Lepisosteus oculatus: one gene and its partners. The protein of the gene in region 4 purifies or fractionates together with the protein of the main gene of each other region. This does not show direct contact. Links are inferred from orthologs where the notes say so. Each region holds a gene or a part of one and is shown on either strand. Other genes may lie near its edges.

Region 1 (6,974 bases), on a different chromosome or scaffold from region 4:
AGTGGAGTATCCAGAAAAGTGCAGTACAAGCGTAAGGATACATTTCAAACACTCTTCTTAACAGATTTCAAATGTCATGCAGGACAAGATATATAATCAGGAATAAGTGAACAATCCTAGTGCACACTTCATAAACTCCTTATTAAGGGTCTAAAAGGGTCAGTTGATAACAGAGGTGCTCCTGGACCAGCTGGGTTCAAGATAGATAGATAATACTTTATTAATCCCGTAGGGAAATTGATGTGTTACAGCAGTCCAGCCCAAGACAAGCAAAACAGACATCAGAATAGTTATTAAACAAAAGACAAACATGATAAATAAAAATAAATAAATACATAGGTGTGTGCAAAATGTGCTGATCATAGTCACTGTAAAAACAATAAAATATGTGCAAAATGTGCATAGGTTTATACAGACTGATTGTCCAAAAAGTACAATGGAGTAAACATGCTGTCCATAGAGAAGCAAATGAATGGCTAAAAGTCCTAGCCTAGGGCAGCGTTATACACCCTGACAGCCGCCGGGAGGAAAGACCTGCGGAAACGTTCCCTTGAACACCGTAGCTTGAGCAGTCTATTGCTAAATGTGCTCCGCTGCCCAGTAACAGTCCCATGAAGCGGATGAGAGGTGTTGTTCATGATGGCTGTGAGCTTGGTCAGCATTCTCCTCTCAGCCACCACCTCCATGGGGTCAAGGCTCATCCTCAGCACAGTGCCAGCCTTCTTGATGAGTTTATTGAGCCTATTTACATCTTTTGTCATGATGCTGCTGCCCCAGCACACCACAGCGTAGAAAATGGCCGCCGCCACCACTGATTCATAAAAAATGTGTAGCAGTGTTCCACACACACCAAAGGACCTGAGTCTCCTAAGAAAATAGAGTTGGCTCTGACCTTTCTTGTACAGGGCATCAGTGTTACCAGACCACTCCAGCTTATCATCCAGGTGTACCCCTAAGTACTTGTAGGAATGTACGCCCTCTATGTCCTCACCCTGGATGGAAACAGGGTTTAGCGGAGACTTATTCCTTCGAAAGTCAAAGATAATTTCTTTGGTCTTGCTGGTGTTAAGCTGGAGATGGTTAAGATGACACCACTCCACAAAATTGGTAATCAAGCTCCTATATTCCTCCTCCCTCCCCTACTGTAGATCCACTACTGTATTTCACCCCCAGCATGCAGAAATAACCACACACCTGGTTTTAGTGAGTTACAAATGAGATCATTCTCAATTCAAACAGACTGGTTTCAGTCTAAAACCTCATGGTATCAATCAGGTCATCTCACTGAAACCTTAAATCACTTCAATATGGGCTCGTTCTGTGAGTGCCAGTTTCCACCCACCTACCCCAGACATGCTGGCTGGGTCAGATGGATCAGAAGGAGTGTGTAATTGTTCCTGTGTGCCCAGTGGTGGACTGGCATCCCATCAGTAGTCCTGCCTTGTGCTCTGTGCTTCCAGGGTAGTCTCCAAACTGCACAACCCTCTGCAGGAATTAGTGGCTTTCTTCTCGATAGACTTGTGTCTTGGATTGTCTGTTACCTTGCTGCTTATTTACGAGACAATACCTTACAACTGTCTTGTTTTGAGTTTTTGAGACAGTAAATTACGTTAAGCTCGCCCTCATACCCAAAGAAGGCTCAACAGCTGAAACACTGTTTCCTTTCTTCTCTTTTCAGCATGGAATACATCTTTATGTTTAGTTTTGCTTCATTTTTTTTTAGATGATTATTTTAGATAGATGGAACGTCCATCACGCAGTAGGCACCTAAATATTTCAGGTAGTATTTTAGCCAGCAGCAACTAATGCGCTATTTTGTGCTAAATGGGGGAAATTAATCTCCCATATGTAGCTTCGAAAATGTCTTGATGCCATTTTCCTAAAAGAAAATAGCTTACAGATATAAAAAAAAAACAACTGCAGCAGTTACTCACGCAGTTTAATCAATGTTTATGTTTTCCCAAGGCATCTGTCTTTGTGCACACGGCGATAGTGAAGCAGAACTATGATCGCCGACCTCCGCGGGTTTACTCATGAGTTTGGAGCAATCCACTCATGGAGCCAAAGGTCAGGGTAGCGCGTCATGGAAAAATACCAGTGACTCATAATGCGATGCAATGGGTCTTTCCTCCCCAGCCAGGGAAAAGTCTGAGGTAGCAGTTGTGGACGGTCACTGTCGGGACACTGTCTTCAGCCCTACAATAGCACGTCACGACTAACGGGCTCAAGTGAAAACGGTGTGGGACACTATCAATTCTGACGATGGAACTAGCTTCGACAAGAGCAAACTGGAGAAGAGAAAAACCCTTTGCCAGCAAAAGAAAACATCCCCTTGCTTTGTTAAACGCCTTGGGGCCACCTTGTTGTGAAAGGCGCTATATAAAAACAAACTGAATTGTGATAACACGCCAAGCCGTGCATCGGACCCGGGTCTCAAAATCCACAAGCGGATTTTAAAACGTAAGGAGAAGCAGTGAGACTCAGCGGATGGCTGCTGTCTTACAACAAAACGCAAGTTCCCCATCACATTTACTCTACAAATCATGTTAAAACGTGTTACAGGCCTAACGGTCAATCCTGCTCACCATTCGTTGTATGCAAAACATACAGAACCGCCATTGAAAACACTAAAATACGGTAAGACTTCAACGAGACCCTGAGGCGACAACACCGCCTTGTCTCTCCCCAGAGACTGCGTTATCCCAGACTTTGGCTGGGCTCGACTGGAAAACAATCCACCATTGTTCTAGGTTACAGGAGCAGAGAGCTCAAAACTCACCCCTTCACCACGAAAAACGGGTCCTCCATTGACATCCTGCACCTGTTGACGAAATGTTCAGGGCCTCGGTACCGTCATACTCCGATTACCAGGGACAGCGGTCGCTCTGCGGTTTATATTTTTGCGAGAAGAATTTGCAGTGAATTTTCTGTTTATATAAAGACAATTAAAGCTCTCTCCACTCCTCCTCCATCGTTGGTTGAAATTACTGCCGGGTCGGAGGTCACAAAGCTGAGTAAAAGGAAGAGGCGGAATTAGCACGACTGTGAGTATAGCGTTGGGGGGTTGTTGTGAGAGTTTCTTCCTGGGTAGTCGAAAAAAAAAAAAAAAAAAAGACAGTTACGTGAGTCACGTTAACATCATGCAAGCGCGAAGTTTGTGGTTACAGACCGGATGGAACAGACTCATTAGAAAGCGAAACAAGTACGTTACGTTTCGATATAAACATTTCTAATCGAAAGCACGACTGCAGTGTCACCACTGGACGAAAAATGATTTCTGCCGTCAAAGTTTAAAATCGTGCTTTGACTTCATAAAGGGTTATTCGAAACCACGCTGTAAACGAATCGACAAAAATGGTAGTAATAATTTTACTTACATCTGGTATTTAAAAGTATAACCCGAACTTGACTGTTGCAAAGATCAGTGGTACTTCGGGAAGAAAAGGGTGTTCATGATCTATGATATCGTTACAGGCTATGGTAAGTGACAATGTAAGTGTCTCTAAGAATCTAGGTACAAATTGGTAGCACCTAACTAGTGTCATTTCCACTTTATAGAGCTTCAAACCATGTTTATTTTCCATCTATCATTACTTAATTGCCGTAGTTCTGAGGTTGTGCTGTATGTGAGATGCTGATCAAAAGAATCTTCTGGTTTATTTGAGTTAATTTAACTTAGTTCTGATGTTCACCTTCGTTCTGGGAAAATAATTAAGAGTGTCGGAGGGATAAAAAGACAGAGATACATGGAGGGCGGGAGGATCAGAACAGAACAAGAGAGGATACACTAGGATACAGAACACAAACCAAGTGCCGGGTGAGAGGTCCTTGTCTACATCACCCATAAACACCAGATTGGTGCTAAGTATTTGCACCTTTCTAAGAGAGCTCACTATTCTGTTTTTTAGGGAATTCTGATTTCCGGAGTGAAGGATTCCTCTGTTAAAAACAGCCTCTCCTATGTAGTGGGTGCATTTTTGGAATGGGGAGATAGGTTCCCTTAAATTTGGTGGCATCTGGATTTACAGAGAGAGATTTAACCACAAGTTGTATTTTGTTAGGTTTAGAATGCAGCTTTGTCCTATTCTGGCCTTTGTAGGTGTTATGAGTTTGAATACATGTTAGCAGTCGGAGGGCTTTCTGGGTGGTCTAGACGTAGGCTTCTGGAATGCCTTGACTGTAAATTTTAAAATTCAGTAACTTGTACGTTGTATGTTTAGTGTGCTGTAAGTTTTTAAATAAATGTTTGCTTAACACACTGTGTGTGAATCGTTACTTTTTTCACCAAAGCTGTACCAGAGAACAAATAACTCATGTGCCTCTAATCATACCAACCACTTAAGTATATTCTTGGCAAAATCCTTACAAGTTGTGGGTTATGATTATTTATTTTATTATTTTATTGACTAAACCGCTAAATTAGTAAATTCGCATAACCTCCCATTTGTAACAACATATATAATGGACTCCAACATTTCTTACTTCTCTAAATGCAGCCGATTGAATAGCATCAGGCCCTGGTGATTTGGTTATCTTAACATAGTGCTTCTAGTACCTAATTAATCATTTTGTAATACACTTTCTTTCATCTTATATTTTTATTTGTTAGTGATTTAAGCCATACGGTCACTGATTACTAGACTTTGATTTAGTCTCGGGTTGAATCTGTTTTAAGCTTCAAGCAGAATATCTTTAAACTGTCATCAGCTGTTCTCTTTTTGCATTGTATTGTCCGACTCCATTCTGCTTCTCTTAGTCTCTGTTTCATTCCTTCAGTCTGCTTCTGTGGAATTCTTGACATTTGTTTTGTACTGTTACAGGTTTTTACCTCAAAGCGTACCATAATATGATCACAGTTCTCTTACCTTTGTTTTCCTCACTCTGTCTTGCTTATTTGAGAACACTAGATGAATAAGGGCGTTCTTTCTAGTAAGTACTCCTATGGAGTAAGAAAGCAGTGGCTAATGTCTACCATTTCAGTTTTAGGGATGGGAGTTCAGTTTCCGACTATATAAGGGAAATTAATCGTTTCTTCCTTATAATATTGATACTATATTCCTGAGATAAAGTGCCAAAGGATATATTATAAATGTCATCTGATTGTGCAAGTCTCTAGGATACTCCCAAAACTATGCCTTTTAAATCAAAGCAACCAATATATATCCTTCATTTGTCAAGATTCAGCTCTTGCACTTGAATGTTCTTTGTGCCATATAGTGCTAAACTTCCCCCTCTTCCAGTGATCCTGTCTCTCTCTCCTCTGATATTGTATTACCACTGTTCTCTGTTTAACATGTAGTTGTGATTCCACTGACTTCATTATCTTCTGCTAATATGGTTACGTCTGCCCCTTTTGTTTCTAATAATCCAGCATCGACTAAGTTAACTGGTCCTTTGATGTTTCTTTTTTCCCCTGGGTTGTCTTCCTGACTTGTGGATTTTCTATAGATTATGTTCCATTTAATTTCATTTGTCACTTTAAATGCTTTTGAATTTCTTTGTGGATCCTTGTGCCAAATTGACGGGTGCCTCCTTTCGAGATAATCCTGCGCGTCTCTGTACAGATGTCCTTTTGCTGTACAAAGGTTTCCAGCGGCCAGGACAGTTGTAGTCTTCTTTGGCACAACATGTTCTTGACCGTGGATTCTGTTTATGGATTAGGATGCGCAGTTGGTCTCCTTTACTGCAATATAGCAAAATATGTTTGGCTTTGGAAAATCGTGCTGCTCAACAAAATACTGGCGCCCAGTATATTGACCAGACTCTGCTTTTTGTGGTGAAGCCAAATTGACAGAAATCTGATCAAAAGCATTGCTTTTGTATGCCATAATCAATGCCATTTGCAAGACCTGGAAAAGAACATGCAACCCAAAAAAAAAAATTCCTAGAAAAGGCAAATAATTAGAACAAGATGGAAAGTACCATGGAATTTGGCAAGCCTGTAACTTTTCTGAGCTTCCAGTTCAAATCTTCAGTGTTTATGTCATGTTCGCTTAAGAGCTCAAAGCTCTCGTGGCGCAGAACTGAAGAGGTGGGCGTGCACTGGGGCTGGTGGAAGGGGCGCATACTCTTACACGAGGTGTTAATTCAAAGGCTACAGTGACTTGATTGTAAATCTTTGCAAGGACAGAGTTGATGCTTGAGGGATATTTTGGGAGAACAGTCACACCGTGACCTACAAATCTACATCCCTTGCACATTAACCCTTTGTGGTGCTGTGTACCTAGTATTTCAGCTTGTACGTTGGAAGGCACATGTACGTTTGAGGTACCCTGCCTTGTGCTCGTTGCTTGCCGGGATAGGCTCCAGCTTCCGTATGACCCTGTATTGGGATAATTAGTTAGAAAATGGATGGATAGTTCAAATTTCAGAATTTCTGTGTAATGTGTGCACATGAATAAAAAAAAAATATGCTCATGTGCACATAATAGGTCTGTAGGGCAGTACTGCGGAGGTCAGTTCTTGGACTGCTGCTCTTCCCAATCTATATAATTGATTTCTGACTCTGGGATGGACAGAAAACCTGTCATATTTGCAGATGGTTCAGAAATAGGTGTTGTAACGTCAGTGGAAATGTGCATCCCTTCAGTTCTTGTCCAGCAGGTCTGGAAAATGCCAAAAGCCAATCGAGCAGATTCCAAAGCGACAAATATTGTCTGGGTAGCGGTGGTGGTGTTGTCTACCACTGCCATACCATACTGGGAGCAAAGAACCTCACATGCAGCCGGCGTTTGATAGAGAAGTACCGCAGTGTCTTTAGTTACTTTAAAAAATAATAAAACACACTGAGGGCGGCACGTTGGCAGAGTGGTCACTACTGTAGTCTCGCAGCATATTGGGTCCTGAGTTCAATTCCTGGGGAATTATCTATGTGGAGTTTGTATGTTCTCCCCAGGTTCCTGTGGGTTTCCTCCAGGTGCTCCGATACCCCTCCTCAGGCTGGTAGGTTCATTGGTTTTTGGGAAATTTGGCGT
Region 2 (6,892 bases), on a different chromosome or scaffold from region 4:
GGATACAGGGAATTGTATCCCTGCGACCCAGAATTAGAAGAATCAGTCACAGAAAGGATGGACAGATTAAGGGACTAATGAGGATCCACACAACAGAGGTTAAGCTGAATTTAAACTTTGCATTTTTCCATTTTTATTTACTATTTGCAGCCTGTTCAAAAGAAGCAGGTAGACACCACCTATCGATGTTATTCAGGGTGTACGACACTTGGACTGACAGCCACAAACGCGATGAACCAGAGCTGCCGCTGACTAAACGTTGACATAAACCAGGCACCAGTGCCTTTTTCCAAAATAGGGGATCTGTAAACTAAGCCAGAAAAGTCCCCTCCAAGCTACACATGAGCCACAATGCAATAGTCTGCGTTTCCTCTGCAGTCAGACTAACAAACACCTAAGGGGATTAATATTCTTCTGGCTGTGTGGCTCTTTTTCTCAACAGCCCAGTATCAGACCGCTATTTTATACTACAAGAGATAACCGTCGTGTTCAGATTGTCGGCAACCAAAGTATAAAGTATTTTAAATGATGCATGAATAGACGAGGTATTTCTGGTGTTCTTTAATCTTCTAAATTCACTTTCCAGCGCGATTCTGCAGAGACCCAAGACATCCTCAGGATCCACGCGGCATGTAGGAATTTGGGGCTTCCTGTGTCTCAAGGAATGGACGTCTCCTGTCTGCCTGCCCGGGAACAGCCCCAAGTACAGCACAGCCTGAGCTGTTGCGACATCTTGCAATTCAGAGCCACGCGCTGATCCCCAGCAGGAGCACAAAGGCACTGCGCCACACAGCTGGCCATCTCCCCCTGGCTGAAGGAGAAACCTCCTCTCTGGCCCGCCTGAGGCGATCACATGCCTGAGGCGGATCTCTGCCCCTTCATCCCCACCAGTGGAGCGAGGCGGCCGGTCCACCAGAGCAGGAGGCGAAGGGGCCGGGGACCGGCTGGCACCACCGCCAGCCTCACTGGGCTCCTGCCACAAGCACGGCCGTTGTGGCAGTTGGACAGGGCGAAGGGGGAAAGACGGAGAGGTGGCTCTGTGGCTCAGGATCCGCGCCTGTGGCTGGAAGGTTGCCGGTTCGTATCCCGCGGCCGGCAGGGGAATCCTACTCCGTTGGGCCCCTGAGCAAGGCCCTTCACCCCAGCTGCTCCAGGGGCGCCGTATAAATGGCCGACCCTGTGCTCTGACCCCCAGCTTCTCTCCCTGTCTGTGTGTCTCATGGAGAGCAAGCTGGGGTATGCGAAAAGACAAATTCCTAATACAAGAAGTTGTATAGGGCTAATAAAGTGATCTTATCTTAAAGAGGCGCGTCTGCAGTACGCAAGAATGGAAAGGCTAGGTCGGGCTAGGAACGACCTCAAAGCAGCCCTGGCGCGACGTCATCTCGTCCTCGCCTCGTCCGAATGGCCACCACCGCCTCTTGCCTCAGAGACCCCATCAGCCCGTTACCTGTAGCCCCTTCAACCACCCGAGAGCTGCGGGGATCGGGACACAGACCCAGCGTAAAGGGCGGGTCTCGAGCAGGCACAGGGAAACCTTAGGGACGCGAATCCCCCTGGCCAGCAAGCCCCCATGAGCTGGGAGGAAAATGAAATGGGAAAAAGACACATGGGAACGAGGAAGGCTTGCAAACTTCATACAGGACGTTCTTCCACCTATAACATCTGTCTTCTCATTTATTTTACCAAGAAGATTTGAGGCGATCCCCCTCGTTAGCATTCGCCCACACAGCTTCAGCAGACTGTCCAGATGTATAAATGGATGCAAAATATAGGGCGATTTCAATAAAAGCAGCAGAAAAATCGATGAATTAGTAACGAGGATATGCTTTTCTTAGGCTTTTTGTTCAGAACAGAATTCCCCAGTCCTTTGCATTGCATTTTTCTTCCTAAATATAATAAATGTCGTACCTTGTACATATGAATTACGAAGTTGAACATAATCAAACAACGACCCAAACTGCGATTTTCCTGGGAGTGTTAACAGCACTGTGGGCATCGCGATTAATAGGTGCTACCTCCGAGATAAGCGTCCTATGCTTTAAGCGAGCTTTTAAAAATAAAACTTGCCTGTTGCATGTAAGGTTTGGACAGCCGTTTGAATCCCGGCCACTTAAAATATACTCTCAAGAGTGATTTCAGAGCAAGTTATGCAAGATAGTGCGCCTGGACACACCCGAGGTGACCACAGCGAGGTCAATTATTAAAGTAATTTCCCGCACAACGACACGTCTCTTATAAAGCATATTAAAACATGACACCAAAACGCAAAAGTAAAAACCAAACTGCGGAAAATTTCGGTTAATTTTAAATAAGAGAAGCCCCCCCCCCCTTTCCTAAAGCAAGAAAATAAACCACCTCAACTGCGTTACTTCTTCAATAACGAAAAACCGAAAATGCAAAGTGGCGAATGATCCAGTACCGGCTTTCTTTTAACGTAACTCTTGATCATGTAAAAAAAATAATGAAGCGTTTACTCAAAAAAGAGTAACAGCGCCGGGTCCATTAAAAACCGTTTACTTCCCATAGTAAAAAAAAAAAACCTCAACAAAGTAACACATATGCAGCAAACACACAGACAATGGTGTCCTGGATCCTGGCTTTACCGTTTCAGACCTCGACGGATTTGTTATAAAGTTTAAAAACAAAAACAGAACAACGGGCCTACAAGTCAAAACTTAAGACGAAGCCTCGTTCTTGCCCGGCAACTTGACTCGGGACAAACGCCCTTTGCCCGCATCCCCGACACCTCACACGGGCGCCCTTCACACGTCGAAACGGGAAAACCGCCGCTCGGTTTCGGTGTCGAAATGTTGTTTTCGCGGCCCACCCTCTGGGCCGGGGCCCGAACGGCACCGGGTTTGACCGGGAGAAACATACTTACATGATTACCGCAACGGGACCAGCAACCAAGTGTAAATCGGGCTGAGGTGGTGTCAGCTAGTGCGACCAACTTTCACAGCAGGATTTAAAGACACAGCGCACTTCCCAGCTCACTCCCGGTCGCTGTTCGACCGTTTTCTCGCACTTTTACAAATCTCTAACCCTCTACCTTGCCTGAGGCCATGTATTTTAAGTGTTTTAAGTGTTTAAGTTCGGTGCATTTCTGTTCTTGCCTTTGCTCCAGACTGCACACATCTGACTGGAGTTAAATAATTCTGGATTAAATTAACTAAATAATTAACTTGATCGCAATAAACAAAAACGTCTCATGAAAGGGACTGTCCATCAGATGCGTTCACTTTTTGTCGTAGCCTTTTTATTTATTTATTTTTGGTTTCAAGCGGTTGTTGTTTTTTTAGCATTGCAAGATTGACCTACAAGTCGATTTACTTTAGAAAGTCTCCAGAGTGTACTCTAGTGAGACACCAGTTTGCAAGCAGCTGTTTCTTTTATACCCAGCGCCCCTTCGGATGCCCACCCGTGACGAGCACGCGTGTGACCGGCTTTGCGTGGCCTCGAGCATCCCGAGAACAAGACTATAAATAAAGAGAGGAGACTCCTGTTGGAAAATGACAGGTCGTTCTCCAACACATACTCAAGAACAGAGACACAGTTAAGAACTATACAGATCATCCTGGCAGAACAGAGTGATGTTCATTGCTTGTAGGACCCGAACGGGTTTAGCAATGGAAATCTCAAGGAACACTCCTCTGGTAAATATTTCAGCATTGATCTTAACAACAACAACAACAACAACAACAACAACAACAACAACAACAACAATAATAATAATAATAATAATAATAATAATTGCTTACGCTTACATAGAGCTTTTCTTGATACTTCACTCAAAGTGCTTAACAGGTAATGGGGACTCCCCTCCACCACCACCAGTGTGCAGCCCCACCTGTGCCCTGGAAATCATGTTGCTCTTAGGATTCAGAACACTAATACTTTTCTGGAAAATGACACAGCAACGCTTATGGCCTATAGAGCTGTGAACCAGCAGTTTTAGAGAGGCAGAGAGCTGTAGCACATTCATCGTGCTCCTCAACTGTCTCAAGCCAACATGCTCCAACTCCACGTGGACACCTACAGCTGTGTCGAATTAGACACTGAGAATGGTCTCTGAGCGAATATTACCAAGATCACAGAACCCCTGGGAGCCTGTCAGCACGAGTCTCCTGGACCGAAGGAAACAATCGTGGCTATAATGAAGAGTGTTCCGCTCAGACAGCATTTACGGTTTCCAATTAGTGTCTCTCTACGACAAGCACTTATTTTTTTCTGGTATTAAGTGACAATTGCACTGTCAACATTGCATTAACAGCAATTTATTCATCTTTAATTAGCACTGTATCAGTATTGATAGCAAATTCACTTGAGTTTATTGATTATCATGGAAAAGACCCAACGATACTCATACTGCCAACCATAAGCCCAGCCTAAAGTCTTCAGCGTTTATTTTCAGGGTATACACAGATTTCCATCATGAAAGTTCAAATGTAACAGAAAAAACAAAACAAAGCAACATCATACTATGAGAATTTTCTTCATTTTTTTATTATTTTACAGCAGAAAGAATATAAAGCATTCAGAAAACATCTTCCATATTTTAAGGGCAATTCAAAACGTTTTGCATGGCTTCAGCAGCTGAATTCTTTTTTAAATTTTTTTAAACATTTCCATCGATTCAGTGACGCTTTTACATGCACAATTACAAAAATAAAACTTACAAAAGAGAGAGAGAGACAGACACGGAGAGAGAAGGGGAGAGAAGGGGGCAGGGAGCAGGAACAGAGAGAAGGAGTCCAACAGAGGGGAAATTAGACAGACAGAGAGGAGAGAAAGATCTAACACTAGTTTCACATGCAAAGTGTTGGGGGCCCACTGCCTTGTTAAAAAAAGCAGGGCCATTTTTTGTTGTTTTTTTTTTAAATTTTTTTTTGGAAATGATGAAAAACGTGCAACTAGGCCAGGGGTTTCATGATATCGCTGTCCATAAATCACTGAACACCTGTCTCGCAATACTGGCAACTGCAGAAGTGGAAGTTAACTAGGTGTACTTGATATTCTTCTAGAGACCTGGAGATCTCACTCCCAACAAAAAAAAGATTTATTGCTTTGTGTCTGTAAGGAGAAAGCCCTGTACTGTAAGAATCTGCTCTGATATTTCCCCAGTGATCCAACCTGCTTTGTGTTCGAGTGCAGTGCGGGAGGTGTGTGTGGGTCTGTGGTGTCCAGTTACTACAGCTGGAGTTGACACTCAAAATTCGATGCCTATCACCTTTCTCCAAGATCGGACTCGGATACTAGCATGTGAAATTTCCCCATCTTTAAAATGTGAACGGACAGTATTCTAGGATTCCCTTTAATTCCAGGATTTTCTTGAAATCGGATGCTTTGGAGCCGAGATGAATTTCACTCAACTCAATTAAAATAGTTAATGAGCCGCTTTTACAAATTCCAGCGAAAGGGGCTGCCAAACACAAGCCGGATCTTTGTGATCGACATCACTGGTGAAGGAGGAGTTTCTTTGCTGCTTCCTAATGTTTCTCACGTTAAAAACGCTACATGTGTCTTTTAGTATCCATGGGAGATGGGATCATGGGACCAACTACCAAAGTAAATCTAACAGCCAATTTTGTAGTAATACTTTGCCAAAACACTCTAAAAATGCAAAACACCTCCATATGATGAAATCTGCTGTGCTAAACAACTGACCTGTTTGCACTGTCTTGCACTGGAGATGTGAAGCAGAACTCCAGCTAACAATTTTTTTAAAATCCATGATCAGACAGGCGGTAAAATGATATCAGATCCTTCACAAATTCTTCATTCTGAATATCCCTATGAACATCCCCTTTTCCTCACGAATCAATCTTTCAGGGCTCCTAAACGTAAATCATATAAATACAAATATTCATTTGTTCCCTTATCTATTGAAGCAGTTAATACACATAAATGGCAAGGGTCAATGCCATTGTGTCAGTATATGTTTATGCTGTAACAAACTATGCAAGCGTAATATATCATGGTTATGTTTTGTAATTAGTTATGCATGCGCGATTGATGTGATGTGTCATTTTGTGCGATATATTCAGATGCACAGAAGCAATGTGTGTCCATAAAACTTTTCCCCTAGGGAACAATAAAGTGTATTTTATCTTTCTGTATATGACAGTGTAAGAGACAATGATTCATAGAGAAGGTTAAGACTTCTTGCACTGCTTGTTAACTCCTGAGTATGGAGGGGTAAGACATTTGACTTTGTGTGTAGGACGAACTGTGTGCTCATATGTTTGCACACTGTAGGCCAATGTCCCGTGTCTGCATGGAAGAGACACACGCATGTGGCGGCTTTAAACACACCTCACCATGCTGATCTGGCAGTAATTCCATAGATATCACTGCCAGTCTATGTTTCACTGTCTGCATGCTGGCATTCCAGCCAAGGCTGGGTGCATCAGGTACTTCTGATATATCTACAGTAGGGTCGCCTGGCGTGAATGCACAACGGACCTAGACAACACGCAACCTTCGCACATTCTGCTCCAAAACAAGCTACACAAAAACAGAATAACCCTAAATCCTAATGTTCATCATGAATCAAGAAACTGCACTTCTGGAGTGTTTTAGCACAGCATTATTCATAATTAAAATCAATAATAAGTCAAATTCTATTGGCACACTGGCAGTATTTTTCAACTAATTAAATCAGACGATGGATTATTAGCCAACACATCCCAGAATCTAGCTGTCAAAGCAATCCGTAACGCCCACTAATGGAATTGGGGCACATCTAATTAAACCCACTGACCTCTTGGACTATTTCAGACTTTTGGTTTAAGGTTTTACATCAGCAATAACTTTCATTGTGAAAGAAATGAATTAGATTCCTCAGTAGTATTTTTCCATGTCAGGGGCTGCAGGTTGCAGGAGAAGCACA
Region 3 (7,781 bases), on a different chromosome or scaffold from region 4:
ACTGTAAGAGTCTAGAGCCCTGTGACTGGGCTGTGTCAGTGTACTGGACTCCACAGGGACTATAAGAGTCTATCCCTGTGACTGTGACTACCAATAAAACATCAGACAACTGGCTGTGTGATTAATATGGTAAACATGAGCCTTCTGGCGCAAGACCCGCCATGACACAGTCCAGCCAGCCGGGGGAGACAGAATTCCGAATAAAGGTCACCTCTAAGTGGTGTCACGTTAATCCCACAGTGCAGAGTGCTGTGTAAAATCCACACTAAACCTCTTCTTTGGTGTGTTGCTCAAAAGCCAGATGCTGCTCATACGGAAATCCCCAAGTGAAATAGCCATGGGTTACTGTCACAGGACCTATACCACTGGACTTCTGATAAAATTGTGTTCATTCCTCTGCTTTCATTTGATTCCAGATCTACCACTATTCGCGTCTCGAGCTATTTTTAGACGGCAAATCCGTCCTCTTCCAAGAAATAAAAACACAACACCCCCCCTCCCCTCCTCCCCGCGCTGCTCAAGGGGTTTGACGCCACAGCCATCTTGGAAGAGCGGAGCCTGGCCCTGCCAACACGCGCCGCGCACGGGCGCGCACTCCCGCCCGCCGGCGAGAGGCGAGAGGCGAGCTGCGCTCTCGTGCCCTACGCAGGAACGCGTCACGTCAGAGACGGATCCCCAGAACGAGAGGTTTGCTTTTATACAGAAGTACACGCCGCAACCTCACCGCGAAAACAAAACCAAAAAAATGCGGTGCGGCATTTCAGGTGTGTATTGCAGGTACATATCGGCGATCTTCTCGCCCAAGTGTATTCGAGACAGGGCACCCTTGATATTTTGAGAGATATGGATGGACACATGTAAACAAAGGCACAGAGAACATACCAGGCAAGAGCAACCTGTCTTTGCTGTGATTGCATGCAGATTAGTGGCGTGTAAGTGACGGACAGAGAGCTACAACGCAAGAAGAGGCGAGAGGCAGGAGGCAGGGGACAGGACGCGGAGATGGGGGGATCTGCGCACACTCACACCCCGGGGCCTGAGAATGACAAGTTAGCTCTTTCCGCCCGCCCACCCGGCGCGACCCCCCCCGTGTACTCCTCGGGTGTCCGGTTTTAAAAAGACAACACCTCATCTTCTCGGGGCGGCGCGGATACACCCGAGTGCGTCGTGGGCTGGATGGTGGAGCCCTACCTCTCCGTTAAACCGGAGAGAGGGTGAGAGAGACGGGGGGGGCGAGGAGGAGGAGGAGGAGGGGGGTAGCTCATTCGAGAAGCGTGATTCATCAAAAAAAAAAACCTGCACGCTCAATCACATTACAATCACATTCACGAAGCGCTGAATACAAAAATACCCCCTCTTTAAAAAAAAAATATATCGTTAAATTTCCATAATCACGCCCGATCCCTGCGGCTCCACGCTCGTTTTGGATCGGTGAAGCTCACAGAACCGACTCCGGCCGCCGGTCCGCTCTCTGCTCCCGATCCGTCACCTGAGGCGGCGGACGACCGACACGAGCCCCCGGTCGCCAGCGCTATAAATGACAGCGTTCTGCCCGTCATCATCATCACCATCATCGTCATCACCATCACCCTCATCCTCCATATTTCTGACATCTTATATAAATTGTGCTCCTCTGAAACAGTCATGTTTGCTCCCTTTCAAAAACAAATATCAGAGTGGACGCCTAAGCAACCAGATCCCTTATTACAACGACGGGCAGCGGAAAACCTGTCAGGTCGAGTCTTCTGTCCATCTTTCCGAGCTACATTACAGTGTAGCTGTGGGCGAACACATCGCAGTCAGGAGCACCGGGCTGCATCCAAACCAGACTGCTTTTCCTTCCCCTGTCGCGATCAACCTGTCGAGACCGGGGGTGATATCGCCATCCCGAAATCCCAGCAGCCGGCCCTGATCGGCCGGGAAACACGGAGTCCTTCCTCGGTGGGGATGCGGTCCACTGGCGCCCGGACCGTCCAGAACCGCACACCCAGCCCCCTCTCCGTCCTCCCGTGACAGCCCTACACAAGCCCACGAACGGGCGCCGCGATTACCCCGGGATATCGCCCCCATGTAAGACAGGGAACCACAGCGCTGTCGGCACAAACGCCATCAACGTCTTGACCCAAAACCGCGACCCCCGCTCGCTTCTCGCAAACCAGCGCAGGGAGTCGTCTAAGCCGCTTGTTTTGCGACTCAAAACGCCGAAGAAAATCGGCTAGAAACCCGACACAAATGGTTTACATCCAACCCACGTGAGATGGCGAGAGAGGCTTGTGTTGTTCGCCGAAAGGAAAGCGTATTTCTAAGAGATGATTAGGGGGGAAAACAAAATTAAAAGTGACAATAATTACAAACATTTCTCGGCTCCTGTACAACACAACGCGAAGGGCTGGTTCTGTCCGGAGTGACACAGTACTGCGTTTAAACAAGACGCTTCATTATTTCTCTCTGTCCTCTCATACGGTGGTGAAATAAAAGGACACTCGGAAAATATCCACTCTGCCGCCCCGTTATCTGACCCTTTCTGGCAATTCGGAGAGAGGGCAGGGGTAGGGCAGCCTGGGGTGTATTCATTGCATCTCGCCCGCCTGTGAAAATCCTCATTTAGCAGACAATTAAATACAAATATATATATATATTATACCTAACGCCTACATGCAAAACCAATTATTCGTACTCACATCTCGTTTGTGGTCTGTTAAGTATATGCTTCTGGCGTTCTAGATTATTTTTCTTGTGAATAGGTGTCAATATATTTTTTTTAAATATTCTGTTCAGATTTTGTCGATGTTTGTATTTTATGTTCCCCCGCTGCGGTCGCTGATGTGTCCCTTTATATTGTAGGCGGTGGTCCTGTCCCCGTCTTCGGTCTTATTTATTCAGTTTCTACCGTGCAAATCGATGGGAGAGGATGGCTGCCTCGCGCGCGGATGGGTCCAGGCGCTCGAGCTGTAGGGATATTGGGAAAAAAAAAAACACAGGCGCTGGGCTCTGAGAACAAAGATGGCCTGTTGACGTCATCCGTCATCCGGGGCAGCTCCGGGGAGCTGGAGAGATGGAGGGGGCGGGGGGTTGGAATCGCATAACCTGTAGGCAATATACTGGGAATCGTGCTATATTGACGGGAAAAAATAAACTTTTAAAATATCTACTGAACTAGCGCTTCTTCTTTTTATTCTCCAGAACACGAACTAACAGTGTACTAGCAGTCTGGGTGAATTTTCAATAGGTCAAGTTCATAAAGGGGTGTTTTTTCTTTTTTTTTTTAGTTGTGTCTGTCATTAATGTCAGCTTTTTCAGGGGACAAACCGTCTATCCTGGGGTGCGTTTTTCTGTTTCCTCACGAAACAGTCGAACAGCGGCGTTGTTTTTGTTAAAACGCTTAATTGTCGGAAAGTTTTTAAAAATCTTTTCCTGTTGTTGTAGTCCTGCATTCCCTGCACACTGTTAAGAGTCGCCCCACCCCGCCTCCCCCCCGCACACTCGCACAAAGCCCCGGCTCTCATTACACGGCTTAGTCCTAATGTTTACATGTTATAGTTTTTTTTTCCCCCTGAATGTTTTCCTGTCAGCTTTTCAAATAGATGACGAGGATGAGGGAAGATGGCGCTGTAACATAACGGCCATACATATACATGGCGCTGTATTTTGCAAAAAGTCTCATTTTCGTGAATTGTTTGGAAAAAAGACGAAGGGGCGTCCTGTATTTTAAACGCAGGAGTGTTACCGGGGAAGGGAGGGTGTATTTACGCCTCAGAGAAACGATGTCGAGAGAGGAGAAAGACGGGAAAGAGAGCCAGGGTACCGTGGGAGGCACAACAAAATGGCGGCGCAGTGACTTGGCTCTCTGGCTTCTGGACCTGTCGGCAGCGCCAGAAAGATGCCGCCCAACTTTTAACTCGTAGCGTGGCCTTCTTTTTTGAACAAACAAACAAATAAATAAAATCCATCTCCCGCGTCTCAAATTCTAGAACGTTTCAGCGCGTCACGAAGGCTGAGCGATGAATTCAAATCGTCCGAAGCGGGGTGTGTTGCTTTGTGAAAATAAAATCTGAACAGGTACAAAACAAAAAATTGACCTTTCCGTGACAGCCCTCTCCCCGCCCCTACACTCCACCCTTCCCCCCCCCCAAAACATTGCTTAACTGGACCGAAGGCAACAAGCTCGAGAGCCTGCAGACTGAGCATGTGGAAAGAGAGCTGGGATTTCAGATCTGACCGCGCTTCTTCACGCTAGGGATCTGCAGAAAAATGAGCAAAGCTGCCGCACAGTCTGTAAAACTGCTATCACCACAGATGGTATCTCCTTGTCTATCCTAATTCTGAACTATTTTAAACTAAAATGGATTATTGGCAGCGGTGGGATTCGAACCCACGCCCCCGAAGAGACTGGAGCCTTAATCCAGCGCCTTAGACCGCTCGGCCACGCTACCATACGAGCCGTCTCTGAAAAAGTATGAATGACTTTATTTGCGCCTACTCCAAACTTTAATTCTTTTATTTATTTCTCTCGGATTTCACAGCAAACCAGTTATTCACGCAAAAGGCTTGCACCTAAACATTAGGGCATCATAATATCTTGCTTGGGCAGAAGACGTAATTCTTTAAGACACAAAGTATTTGCCAGGGAAAGGATCGATTTAATCCAGACGTGTACCATTCCTTTACCATATGTGGTAAATCAGAAAAACACAGATCCCGCTCTCCGCCTGGCGCAGTCGCATTCGTAACAACAACACTTAAGAGATAGACGATGCAAGGCGCTGGCCGAGTTACAATGCTGATGGCGAAAAATATATAAGAAAATAGATAAGGGTTGAATTCTGCTAAATAAATTGACATAACTGAAAGCAATCAACAAAAATGAGAATACGAAGTCGCCGGCATGCGACACTCAAGAGTAGGAGGCACCTCTTTACACAAAGGGCAGTGGGAGTCTGGAACAAGCTGCCCAGTTACGAAACCAAAACTATCGTCTTGGAGTCTTTCAGGAAAACTCTGGATGAGTTACTAATGTACAAATCAGAAACAAGTGCTGAAGTGGTCTCATCTGATCGGTCTCCACTCTTGAGCTCTTTAATACAAACCGACACTCTCTGGTAGCCCACAAGATTAATTCGGACAGCTGTTACAAGGAAGGGCAGTGTCTGTCGATAGCAGGTAGAAAAAATGAGGATCTGAGCTGGGAGTAGGAGGAAATTGGAGGAGATCTGGTGATGGAATCTGTTCCCCATTACTCCTGAGTAATGATCTCCTGGGGCACCAGATCAATGCATTGAGAGGAAAGCTCTCTCCCGGCTCTGCTTACCAGCAGCCATATCACCCTGCAGCTCTCGACTGGCAGTCCTACTGAAGCTCAACAGCTGTGAGCCTGGCCAGTAGCTGGATGGGAGACCTACTGGAAAAGCTAAGGTTGCTGCTGGAAGAGGTGTCAGTAGGGCCAGCAGGGGGCGCTCACCCTGTGGTCTGTGTGGGTGTTTCTCAAAAAGAATAGGGGTGTTTGCTAAATTTCCCGCAGGCCTTTACCAGTCATGGCCTCCTAATAATCCCCATCTCTGAACTGGCTCCATCACTCTGTTCTCCTCTCCACTGACAGCTGGTGTGTGGTGGGTGTACTGGTGCACTATGGCTGCCATTGCATCATCCAGGTGGGGCTGCACATGGGTGGTGGTGGTGGTGGTGGTGGTGGTGGTGGTGGAGGGGAGTCCCCTTTACCTGTGATGTGTTCTGAGTAGAGTGTCCAGAAAAGTACTATATAAGCATAAGCAATTATCATCGTTCCTTCTTTCTGCCACTGCAAAGCACCCAAAATGCTGAACATCTTTGGAGAGCTCAAGAACAAAAAGATTTATAAACATAAATCTGGTTCGAAACGGATCCACACGTCTCCCGTTTCTGTGCTTGCACTGCCTACGGATTCTCTAGGAATCCTGGGGGAATCGCCAACAAGATAGTTGCTTCTCGCCTCTTTTTTTCCCTTCTTCTCTCCTACACAAACACCTCAACTTCGGATTGAAAGAATTCCAGGCAGCCAGGCTCTCACACCAGGCCCAGGTGTTAATTAGGTCCCAGCACCCACTTCGCACCCTCAACACTGCTGCACTTGACGTGTGTGAAAAGTGGGGGGGCTGCCACTGTCGCATCGGATAATCTCCCGACTCCTCTCCGCCCGTGCCGGCCTGACGGCAGCTATTTTTAGGCTGGCAGCGAGCGGGCGACAGCGCCTTCAGCATCTTGGAATTCAAAGTGGCACAGTGCTCTGCCAGTCGCAGCATCAGAAGGGGTGGAGGGGAGGCGAGGCGAGATGAGATTTTTTAACTGTATACTTTAAATCACAAACAAAAGGCCTGGCGTTCTGCTTGCATCCCAAACCAGGCCATTGGCCCAATCCAGGCCTTTAGGACCCCCCTATGCAACCACACTCCTGATGACGCCCCCTCCCCAATCCCCTCTTTCAACCAATAAATTTGACTCACTGCAAACTTTTTGAATTATTCTGCATATAGCAGCATTTAACTTTTACATATCAAAAGCCAGCTGAAAGCTTCATCGTTACTAGGAGCACGTAGGACAACAAAGAGATCTCAAGAATGAAATCAGGCCAATTAAAACACTACAAGTTGAAGTGTGGTGGAAGTCAGACTTATCCCACCACTAGACATTCAGCAATTTCTATAGTCACCCTTTTTTGGCAAAACCACCATAGCTGGAAAAAATGCTCAGCGATTGTGAAGAAATCTCTCCCTGGTTTGAAATCATGCAGAGTCCCAGATTATTAAAAACAGCAGGTCTGACACAAACGCCAATCAGAGCACAATCGCCCAGAAGAGACCGAGATCCTTCCTGGTCCTTGTGCAGCACACCCCAAGCCTGGAGCAGACAGCCCGGCACTGCACACAGGACTGAAGCTCTGCAGCGACGGACAGACCTGCCACTGGAGGTGCCGTTTCATCACAAGAGAAACGGCATAAACCCCTCCCTGTGAACCCGAGCAAGATGAAGGGAATGGTCTTGAGCCAACCACGACAACTTCCACGACTGGGTCTAATTTAACCTCGTCTCAAACACGGATTGGTGGATGTTCCCAAGAGGGAGCAAAACATATGGCACAGAACGACAGCCAACTGATGGAGTGGAGGCTGATGGATAAAAGATCAGCAGAAACCAGTGAACCTGCTCACTAGAAGGGGAATAACCAGAGCAGGAAATGGCAGCATGGCTCAGGAAACCAGATCACTCTTTTCCTGGAGTCACAGGAATTGAATGCAGAGATAACATTGTATGTGCAGTCCAGCACCTCTTGTGAGCTTTTTATTCTACTTGTGCCCTGCATCACTGTTAAAAGAAAACCCTTTAAAAGCCCACAGTAAATAGCTATAAAGAAACATCCAGCACCTTACATTGTATAAAGAATTTATTGGTTTTCTAAAACACATCCCAGTGGTGACGAAACATAAAAACAGTAGATTTCAACAGTCTAAAAGAAGTCACGCTAATCCTCAATATTTCCAAATCCAACCCTATGAGAACAGCTTACTGGCACCAGAACTCTCATTCGCCAAATAAAGCATCACCTATCAATCAGCAGCTGTTATACAGCTCCAATGAAGCCAGTTGATTCATTAATTGAAATAAAAACCTACAGGCTGCACTAGGTCTGGTGCTGGGCAGCACTGCTTGAAGCAGTCCGAGCGCCTCTACATTCCAGAAAATGCGGTCACAGTCTCCGTACTAAAAAAAGGCAGGTTGAGCCAGCTTGTCTTAACTCCTTTCAAGACAAT
Region 4 (7,429 bases):
AGGCCTTGGAACGATTCCTCTGCTTCCTCATTTAAAGTTAACCCACCCTTGCCCACAGCAATGCAGCTCTCCTGCCCGAGACCCATCAGTCTGTTAACAGAAATATAGTTGTTCCCAGTCAGGGTCAGTGGCCTCCAGGAACTATACCCTGGACAGGACACCAGACCATTGCAGTGCATGTTAACACAGAAACGCCCCAGTTTGCGATGACAATGATCCCAGCGAGCACATTGCTGCGAGGTGGGAGGACACTGGAGCACCTAGAGAAAACTGAAGCCAGTGGGGAGCAACATGCAAGCTCCACACACAAGGTGTTCCCGTCCAGGAATCAACATGATTGGTTCGAAGAAGCCATTATTCCAACTTGAACGATATTTTTTTTAATTCTGGATCTCTTATTTCCCTGCTTTAGAAGCCATGAAATAGGTATTCTAACTTCATCTTAAAAAAACATTTGTAAATAATCTATTTCAATAGTTAGGGTCACTAAGTAAACAAACTAAAGCCACTGGGGTGTAAAAATCCATAAATGATATCGGCTTTACTAGTACTTTTACTAATCTACGTCAGATACGGAGCCAAAGAAATATGTAAATGAAAAAAGTTCACTGAAAAAGACTATTTGAGAATCGTTGTAGCTACAAAAACGGTTGTGGAATAGTTTTATAACGATATCTATAACGTTAGAGAGCGAAACATTTTCAGATCTTTTAATTCCAAAGGAGTTTAGAAGTTTAGTCTTTTCCAACACACAAAGGAGTAAGTACGTGCCAGATACTTCTGCTCCAGAAGTCTTCACATACAACTTTTACAACCGTCTCCCAGTAACATAACTATAGAAGAGCACTCTTGTGTTGCGGTCTTGAAAATTAATGACTCCTGAATCTTCCTTAACTGGAAACCCACAGCACCCCCACCACACTCGCGAAGCCCCCACTCGGCGGAGAGCCCCATTTCTTCAATGCCTCATGTTGAGGCCGAAAAGAAAAATCCCTACAACCGATCTGAGTCCTCGCTTCTTTGCATGTTATTATCATAGGAAAGGGTCGAGTTTTACCGACTTCCAAAGGAGCCGTGGACGTTTCGAAACGGAAAACATTTATTTTTCCCTGTAGTGGGTGGATTGATACCGGCAGCCGCCACGAACAGAGGCGTTTCGCTGTTTTTATTCATAGAGAATTATTCTTCATGTTCCGTTTTGTTTCTCTAGCAGACTATTGCTTTGTACTTCTAACTAGCTCAAACCCTGTTTACAGCTGTGTAGTTGTTCTTTCTCCTCTGCTATTTCAGCAGCGGAACACCCTTCCGCGACGAGAAATAACGAAGTCCAGCTTCTCACAAAGTTTAAAATGACTACCCTCTGAGTCCCTGACAGCTGAAGAAAGGTGGTAGAAAGCGCAGATGGATTAAATAATACTTACTGTGATTTTAAGTTGAAACACACTCAGAGCTCCCAGTCGGGGGTACAGAGTCGAAACAAATTCCTTCAGTCGGCTACTGATTTGCACTGCGCATGCGAGGATCTGATTAAGGACAGCGGCCGCTTTGAGCATGCGTCCCAGTGCTGGGAAACTTGAATTACGTCATCCCTTACAGAGTAGGAAAACAACCTATCCAACACCAATAAAGGGAAGTGCTTTAGAAATGAATCCCGTCAAACATGCTGTATCTAGTTTTGGAATTAAACTGGATGATCAATTGTAATTTACACAAAGAACATTTTTTACACTTTCCCCGACCCATCACTGTGTATATACCAAAATGATTTTAATGATTAGACTATGTCGTATGTAATGAATGACTCTTGAGCTGTAATGGTTTCCTCCGTACATTTCACTTTCACACGAAATTAAACATTTACGAAGATTTAACGTTTCGTTGACGTATTCTTGGAAGTGGGCTATGAATAACTTCTATAAACGGTATTCTTTTTTTCTCTGTACAGATGTTTTTATGGAGAAATAAAAAGTACACAAAACACTTCCTGAAACAATAATACTTTAATACTATTTTATTAATTCAAATTATACACACACACACACATATTCGGAATTTTGAAATACTCCATACCATTAGTACGCTATTGGTGTTGCATATAATTCCAATTAATTTATTGAAGAATGAGACTAAAAATGTACAAATATCAGATGTATCTTGCCAACTGTGAACATTTGGTAGTGAAAGGAAACCAGCAGCAGAATTCCATTAGTCGTCACGACAGAAGATTAAACCGTTTCACTTTTCATTTAATCATGTTAAAACACTTAGCATGTTGTGTAGTAAAATGATACGCTGCTATGCCGATGTGTTAAACATTTCCCATTGTTATATTTTTAAGACCTGTTAATCGTTTTTCATGATGAGTGTCAAAACCAGTTGAAAATCTTAAAACAGTTTTTCAAAATTACATATAATACGCATAAAACATTGATGAACACCACGACGTGTATATAATACAATGGAAATTGTATATAGCTAGCTATACTATAACAGTAATTACTCATTTCTTACACTTACTGTATATAGCGCTTGTCTGGACACTCCACTCAAAGCGCTTTACAGGTAATGGGGACTCCCCTCCACCACCACCAATGTGCACCCCGCACCTGGATGATGTGACGGTAGCCATAGTGCACCACTACGCTCACCACACACGATAATTGTACTACCCTAAAAAGATCAATTACAATGCAAACGAACATTGCGGAAAAACAAACTATTGGTTTTAATTATAATATTACAAACCTTGAAGCGGTGCCTTGTGCATAAACAATTGCGGAACAGATAAAATCAGGGTTACACCAGTAACCAATTCGAAAGCAGGCGCTCTGGTGCAGGACGGGGGACCTCTAGCGTGTCTTCTCTCCTTCTTTCCCCGCCCGGGATCTGGAGGTGAGACTCGAAACGCAGAGCTTTTTAACAGAATTTGTATAGAAATGCCTATTCCACGTAGACAACAAAGTCCTAGAAAAATGTAGTCTCGGCCTTGAATCCCCGCTCCCAGGAGCTCCTTGAGCACGATTCGCTCCCAGTATTTCCTCAGTTCTGTTGCGTAGAAGGAAGAGGCGGGGTCGACGCGCGCAAATATGGCGGCGAAAACAGCATTGTGCTGGGAATAGTTATAATTCCGCTAAAACGAAGTACAGTATATCAGTTTAAACAGGAAGCGCGTGCACTGTGGCATAGAAGTCTACGACGCAGATTTCTGATTACAGACCATGGGCTCTAGGAGAGTCCCTTAAAGGCAATTCCGAGGTAGGACACATGGAAGCGTGTACGAGTTTGGTGCTCAGTGCGCCCAGATGTTGTCAGGGATGCGACATAGTTCAGTTGCTTACCGCTAAAGGAAAGCGAATAGTACAGTGCTTTGCAGAGTTTATAAGTACAATACGTGGCGATGTTAAGGTCTTTATCTGCGCTTCCTGAACACTCACAATGCTACCTCTTGCTTCATGAAATTATTTCGTTGCGTGCTCGGTAACTAGTGATTGTTTTTTTTTCATTAGCGTTTCAGTAGAGTATTTAGGAAGTGCAGCGTTTTGTTAAAAAAAACAGTCTTTATCATTTAAAGGTTAAACCATGATCACAAAAATAACCGTGCTACTAGAGATGGACTGCATTAAATCACCTGGTCCCGGAGCCTTCCTTCTTCCCCATTGATAAGTTTATAAGGGGTCACTTCCGCAGACCTGGAAACAATTAACTGTGATCAGTGAAACATTTGGTACAGTCCAGGACTATTAAGTACAAACATCAAAATACCCTGCAGCCCCCTTGATAGAATAAATCCATTGATTAAGTGATTAGAAAATCAAAACTGACCCTTATCTTTAAATTGGCGGGCCAATGGCCAGTCACCGGATTGGAGCTCTTTCTGTTATATATTTGTAAGAAGTTTCGTCGACTCGTGTTATTGCGAAGAAAACGAAGTTGATCTTGCAGCGAGCACTGCAAGATGCTCAATTATTCAGGCAGATAAAATGAATTTTGTCTGTTTAAATCCTTAACAAGTTCAAGGGGAGAATGTGACATGCCGACATTGAAAATCCTTCTTGTAGTTTCTAACGCCCCGCAATCTTCTGGCTGTATTATGATAAAATAGACAGCGGGGGGTCAGTGGCTGTGGTTGATGACTGGTTGCAAGGTGTTGGGGAATTCACATGCAGGCTAAACACTGTTGCTCTCACAGCCTCACCAGAGATATATTGCATAGTGTACTGTGCCATTTCTACTCATTTATACTTACTTGCCTCTAGCAGCCTGCAATAGGATAGTGCAAATACCCTCTTCTTTTCTTCCTATAGGAAATTACATATTTAAATAATGGTAGAGAACAACTATTTTATATAGCGACTTTAAAAGTGACTCCTCAACATGTTTTACAGTAAGGAAAAAGAGGATATAGCAGCATTACACAGTTATAATAAGGGTCTGGAATATCTGCTCCCTGATGGCCAGCTGCCCTAAGAGCATGTGCCTCTGTGGCTTTGTTCAGCTATCCATAGAGTCATCTTTCTATCTTGCATGGAGGTCTTGGTTGCAGCTGACGAAGAAGCCGATAGCACAGGCATCCTAATGTTATCCTCATTCTTGAGTGCGGGTTGTATGGTTGACGTTGCCATATCAAATTCTACAACCAGTATCCACCTAACATTCACCTGCCTCCACACTCATAACCTACAGCTTAACATCCACACTCATGCTTTTCCTTGATTTTTAGTACCGAATGTGGCCTATAGCACTGTGGCTCTGTTTCCCCACTGTGAGTGTGAAAAATAATGAGAGTAGAGGTGACAGTGAAGTAACCGTAATACATGTGACAGCTTTACATTCTTTCCGCTTTTATTAGCAGAGTGCTCAACCTGTAAATAATAATCATGATGTGTTTTTTTCTTGGCATCATACAACCGGTTTATTGATTTTCTTTCTTTTCATAGTTTTTAGATTTAAAAGGAGTAATTCTAAGATTAAGTGTCTATCTTGTTTATAACTAATGAAACATAAGGTGGAGATACTATGCAAATAAAATGTAATCTGGATAAACACAAAGCACTGCACACATACTGCATAGTAGGAAACATGCTTTTTGATCATTTTATATCAGTAAATCTTTGTTCTCTGGTTTGACGCTTCAGCTGCAGATGAAACCCGATCCTGGTTTGATCCCTGAGCAGTACAGTAGCCATTTGTTAAATCAGATGTCCCTGTATTTCCTTTCAAAGTGTGTGAGTGGGCTGCTTGGGTGCCACTCTGGGGACTGGAAAGCCGAAAGAAATGCCAGGAATGATCTCACTCTCTTTATTGCAGCTGAAAATAGCTGTGGCCTCAGATGTTGGAGGGACAGAGTTGCCGATTAGGATTTGGTCCTTAACTTGTAGCAGAGGGCATTCTGTCAGTGTGACCTACTGTAACAGAGTTTGAAGGTCTGCTACAATGGGTGGGCTATCGAACATGCCTTTTGTTTGAGATTTGACTTTCTAAATGCATAGGAAATGAGAGCAAACACTTATATGAGCGGTGTGGTGGCTCTGTTGCTAAGGATCTCCACCTGTGGCTGGAAGGATTGCCAGTTCGTATCCCGGCAGAGGAATCCTACTCCGTTGGGCCCCTGAGCAAGGCCCTTAACTCCAACTGCTCTAGGGGCGCCCTAAAAATGGCTGACCCTGTGCTCTGACCCCAAGCTTCTCTCCCTGTCTGTGTGTCTCATTGAGAGCAAGTTGGGGTATGCGAAAATATGAATTCCTAATACAAGAAATTGTATATGGCCAATAGAGTGATCTTATCTTATCTTATATAGTACCTTGCCGTGAGTGTAGGCCTGCTGTGAAACACCCCTCACAATAAGTGAGGAAGACACAAGCACATTCGTCGTGCGAAAGACTGTCGACACTATGTGCACATGGAATTCTCCCACTGTGAAGCTGTGCCGAGCCAAATGAACAAGAGGGCAGAATCGCGCATTTCTCTTGTGTAGTTTTTCTTTCTTTAAAGGAGCCTTTATTGTAGTATGCTAGAAGTAGAACTCTGTGCAAAACATGGGTCAAGATCTTAAAGAAAGAACTTTGAACTGCCCGTAAAATCATTAAAAAAGAAGTTGAATTCAGTTTTTATTTTTGGCATGCACTTCCCAAGATGAAAATGTGTCTCCTCTGCTGGGTATTCTGCTTGTGTTAGCAGGAGTAATGTGAGTGGGATGGCTGCTAAATTTTTTCAAATTAGGTTGGGCTGCTTCATAGCAGAAGAATTTGCTTCCAATTACATGTATAAGTGACCTTAACTTGCTTGTAAGGACATAAAGGGTCCTACTAAGGAAATGTATATTGGTTAGCTTAGTCTTTGAGGGTTTAAGAGGGACAGCTTATTAAACTCTGTTGTTAATTGTTACCGAAGGCAGTAGTTCTCACCTTTCACACTGCAAATAAAGATGCAAAGATGTTGTGACTGTTGCTTGCTATGCTTCCCAATGACATTCTGTACCTGAAACTTATTTTTTTGGTTAATATACCGCAACATTTAGTAGTTTCTATTTTTCACTATTTCCCACTTGCTATATTCCCATTTGGTTCTGTTTGAAAGCTGTGTGTTTCTTGTGTATTGATAAGAAGTGTGGCAATGTCAGGCTCTAGAGCTGGATTCGTCCAGACACAGTAAGATTACGGTAGCGTGCTCTGCTCGTCCTCTTCGTTTCTCTCTAAGCTTCATTTAGATTGTTTAAAAGTCTTACTGTAAGTGCTCCTCCGCCCTTCTACATGGGGAGCTGTAGTGTAACAGTCACCAGGGTCTCACCTATCTGATTTGTTCAGGGAAGTAATTGCAGAATGATCTTTTTAAGAAAACCCATGTGTACCTCAGTGTTGTAATTACTGCCTCTAATGCCTTTTCATTGTGGACTTGAAAGAAATCACCCAGGATGCATTCTGTGAGGTCCAGAAGGGCTGCAGACTTGGCTCACCAGTTCAAGAGCGTTATGTATCAGGACTGTTCTGCATAAAATCTGTGCATCTGTCTGCAATGATAGTGACTATAATATAAAATCCAAAAGACCTGATTTCAGATTAAAAATAAATGTTCTTTGTAAGGCCTTTTTGATCTGCTGACCAGTGAGCTACTTGCTGCTAAATGGGATGCTTGTTTGTAAGCTCCCTTATGTTTATTAGTTAGAAAGCACACATTGTACCCATATGATGAAAATGACTTGCTTAGCCAGGCAGCTGTCCTGAGGTTCTGTCCAACGGAGTCTTTGACCTGTGTTTTAATATGGCTTGTGCTTTTTGTCACAGCTTCCCAAGGTGATGGCTTGATGTCTATCTAGAAGCTCCAAGATGGGAAAAGAACGGAAGTGCATTCTCTGCCACATCGTTTACAACTCAAAGAAGGTAACACAACTGTGAAAAGAATAGACTGAAAGGGACTTGACAGGACTATTGAT

What was found.
Region 1: the proteins of synaptosomal-associated protein 23 (region 4) and stx6 purify together in Homo sapiens (affinity purification with mass spectrometry; 3 studies listed by BioGRID and IntAct, with this or other methods). This does not show direct contact. The link is inferred for Lepisosteus oculatus from reciprocal best matches to the Homo sapiens genes SNAP23 and STX6.
Region 2: the proteins of synaptosomal-associated protein 23 (region 4) and vamp3 purify together in Homo sapiens (affinity purification with western blotting; 6 studies listed by BioGRID and IntAct, with this or other methods). This does not show direct contact. The link is inferred for Lepisosteus oculatus from reciprocal best matches to the Homo sapiens genes SNAP23 and VAMP3.
Region 3: the proteins of synaptosomal-associated protein 23 (region 4) and vamp2 purify together in Homo sapiens (affinity purification with western blotting; 4 studies listed by BioGRID and IntAct, with this or other methods). This does not show direct contact. The link is inferred for Lepisosteus oculatus from reciprocal best matches to the Homo sapiens genes SNAP23 and VAMP2.

What each region holds. Positions count from the first base shown.
Region 1 is NC_090704.1:30,260,945-30,267,918, reverse strand, and holds the start of stx6 (syntaxin-6), read right to left. Parts: upstream 3,013-6,974; 5' UTR 2,815-3,012; coding exon 2,780-2,814; intron 1-2,779. UniProt on the Homo sapiens protein: SNARE promoting movement of transport vesicles to target membranes. Targets endosomes to the trans-Golgi network, and may therefore function in retrograde trafficking.
Region 2 is NC_090720.1:9,620,952-9,627,843, reverse strand, and holds the start of vamp3 (vesicle-associated membrane protein 3), read right to left. Parts: upstream 3,010-6,892; 5' UTR 2,887-3,009; coding exon 2,885-2,886; intron 1-2,884. UniProt on the Homo sapiens protein: SNARE involved in vesicular transport from the late endosomes to the trans-Golgi network.
Region 3 is NC_090698.1:9,315,316-9,323,096, reverse strand, and holds the start of vamp2 (vesicle-associated membrane protein 2), read right to left. Parts: upstream 3,003-7,781; 5' UTR 2,684-3,002; coding exon 2,682-2,683; intron 1-2,681. UniProt on the Homo sapiens protein: Involved in the targeting and/or fusion of transport vesicles to their target membrane. Major SNARE protein of synaptic vesicles which mediates fusion of synaptic vesicles to release neurotransmitters.
Region 4 is NC_090703.1:20,902,009-20,909,437, reverse strand, and holds the start of synaptosomal-associated protein 23, read right to left. Parts: upstream 3,011-7,429; 5' UTR 2,746-3,010; intron 1,532-2,745; exon of another isoform or gene 1,422-1,531; intron 1-1,421. Other genes in the region: zinc finger protein 106, read left to right, coding at 7,323-7,376. UniProt on the Homo sapiens protein: Essential component of the high affinity receptor for the general membrane fusion machinery and an important regulator of transport vesicle docking and fusion.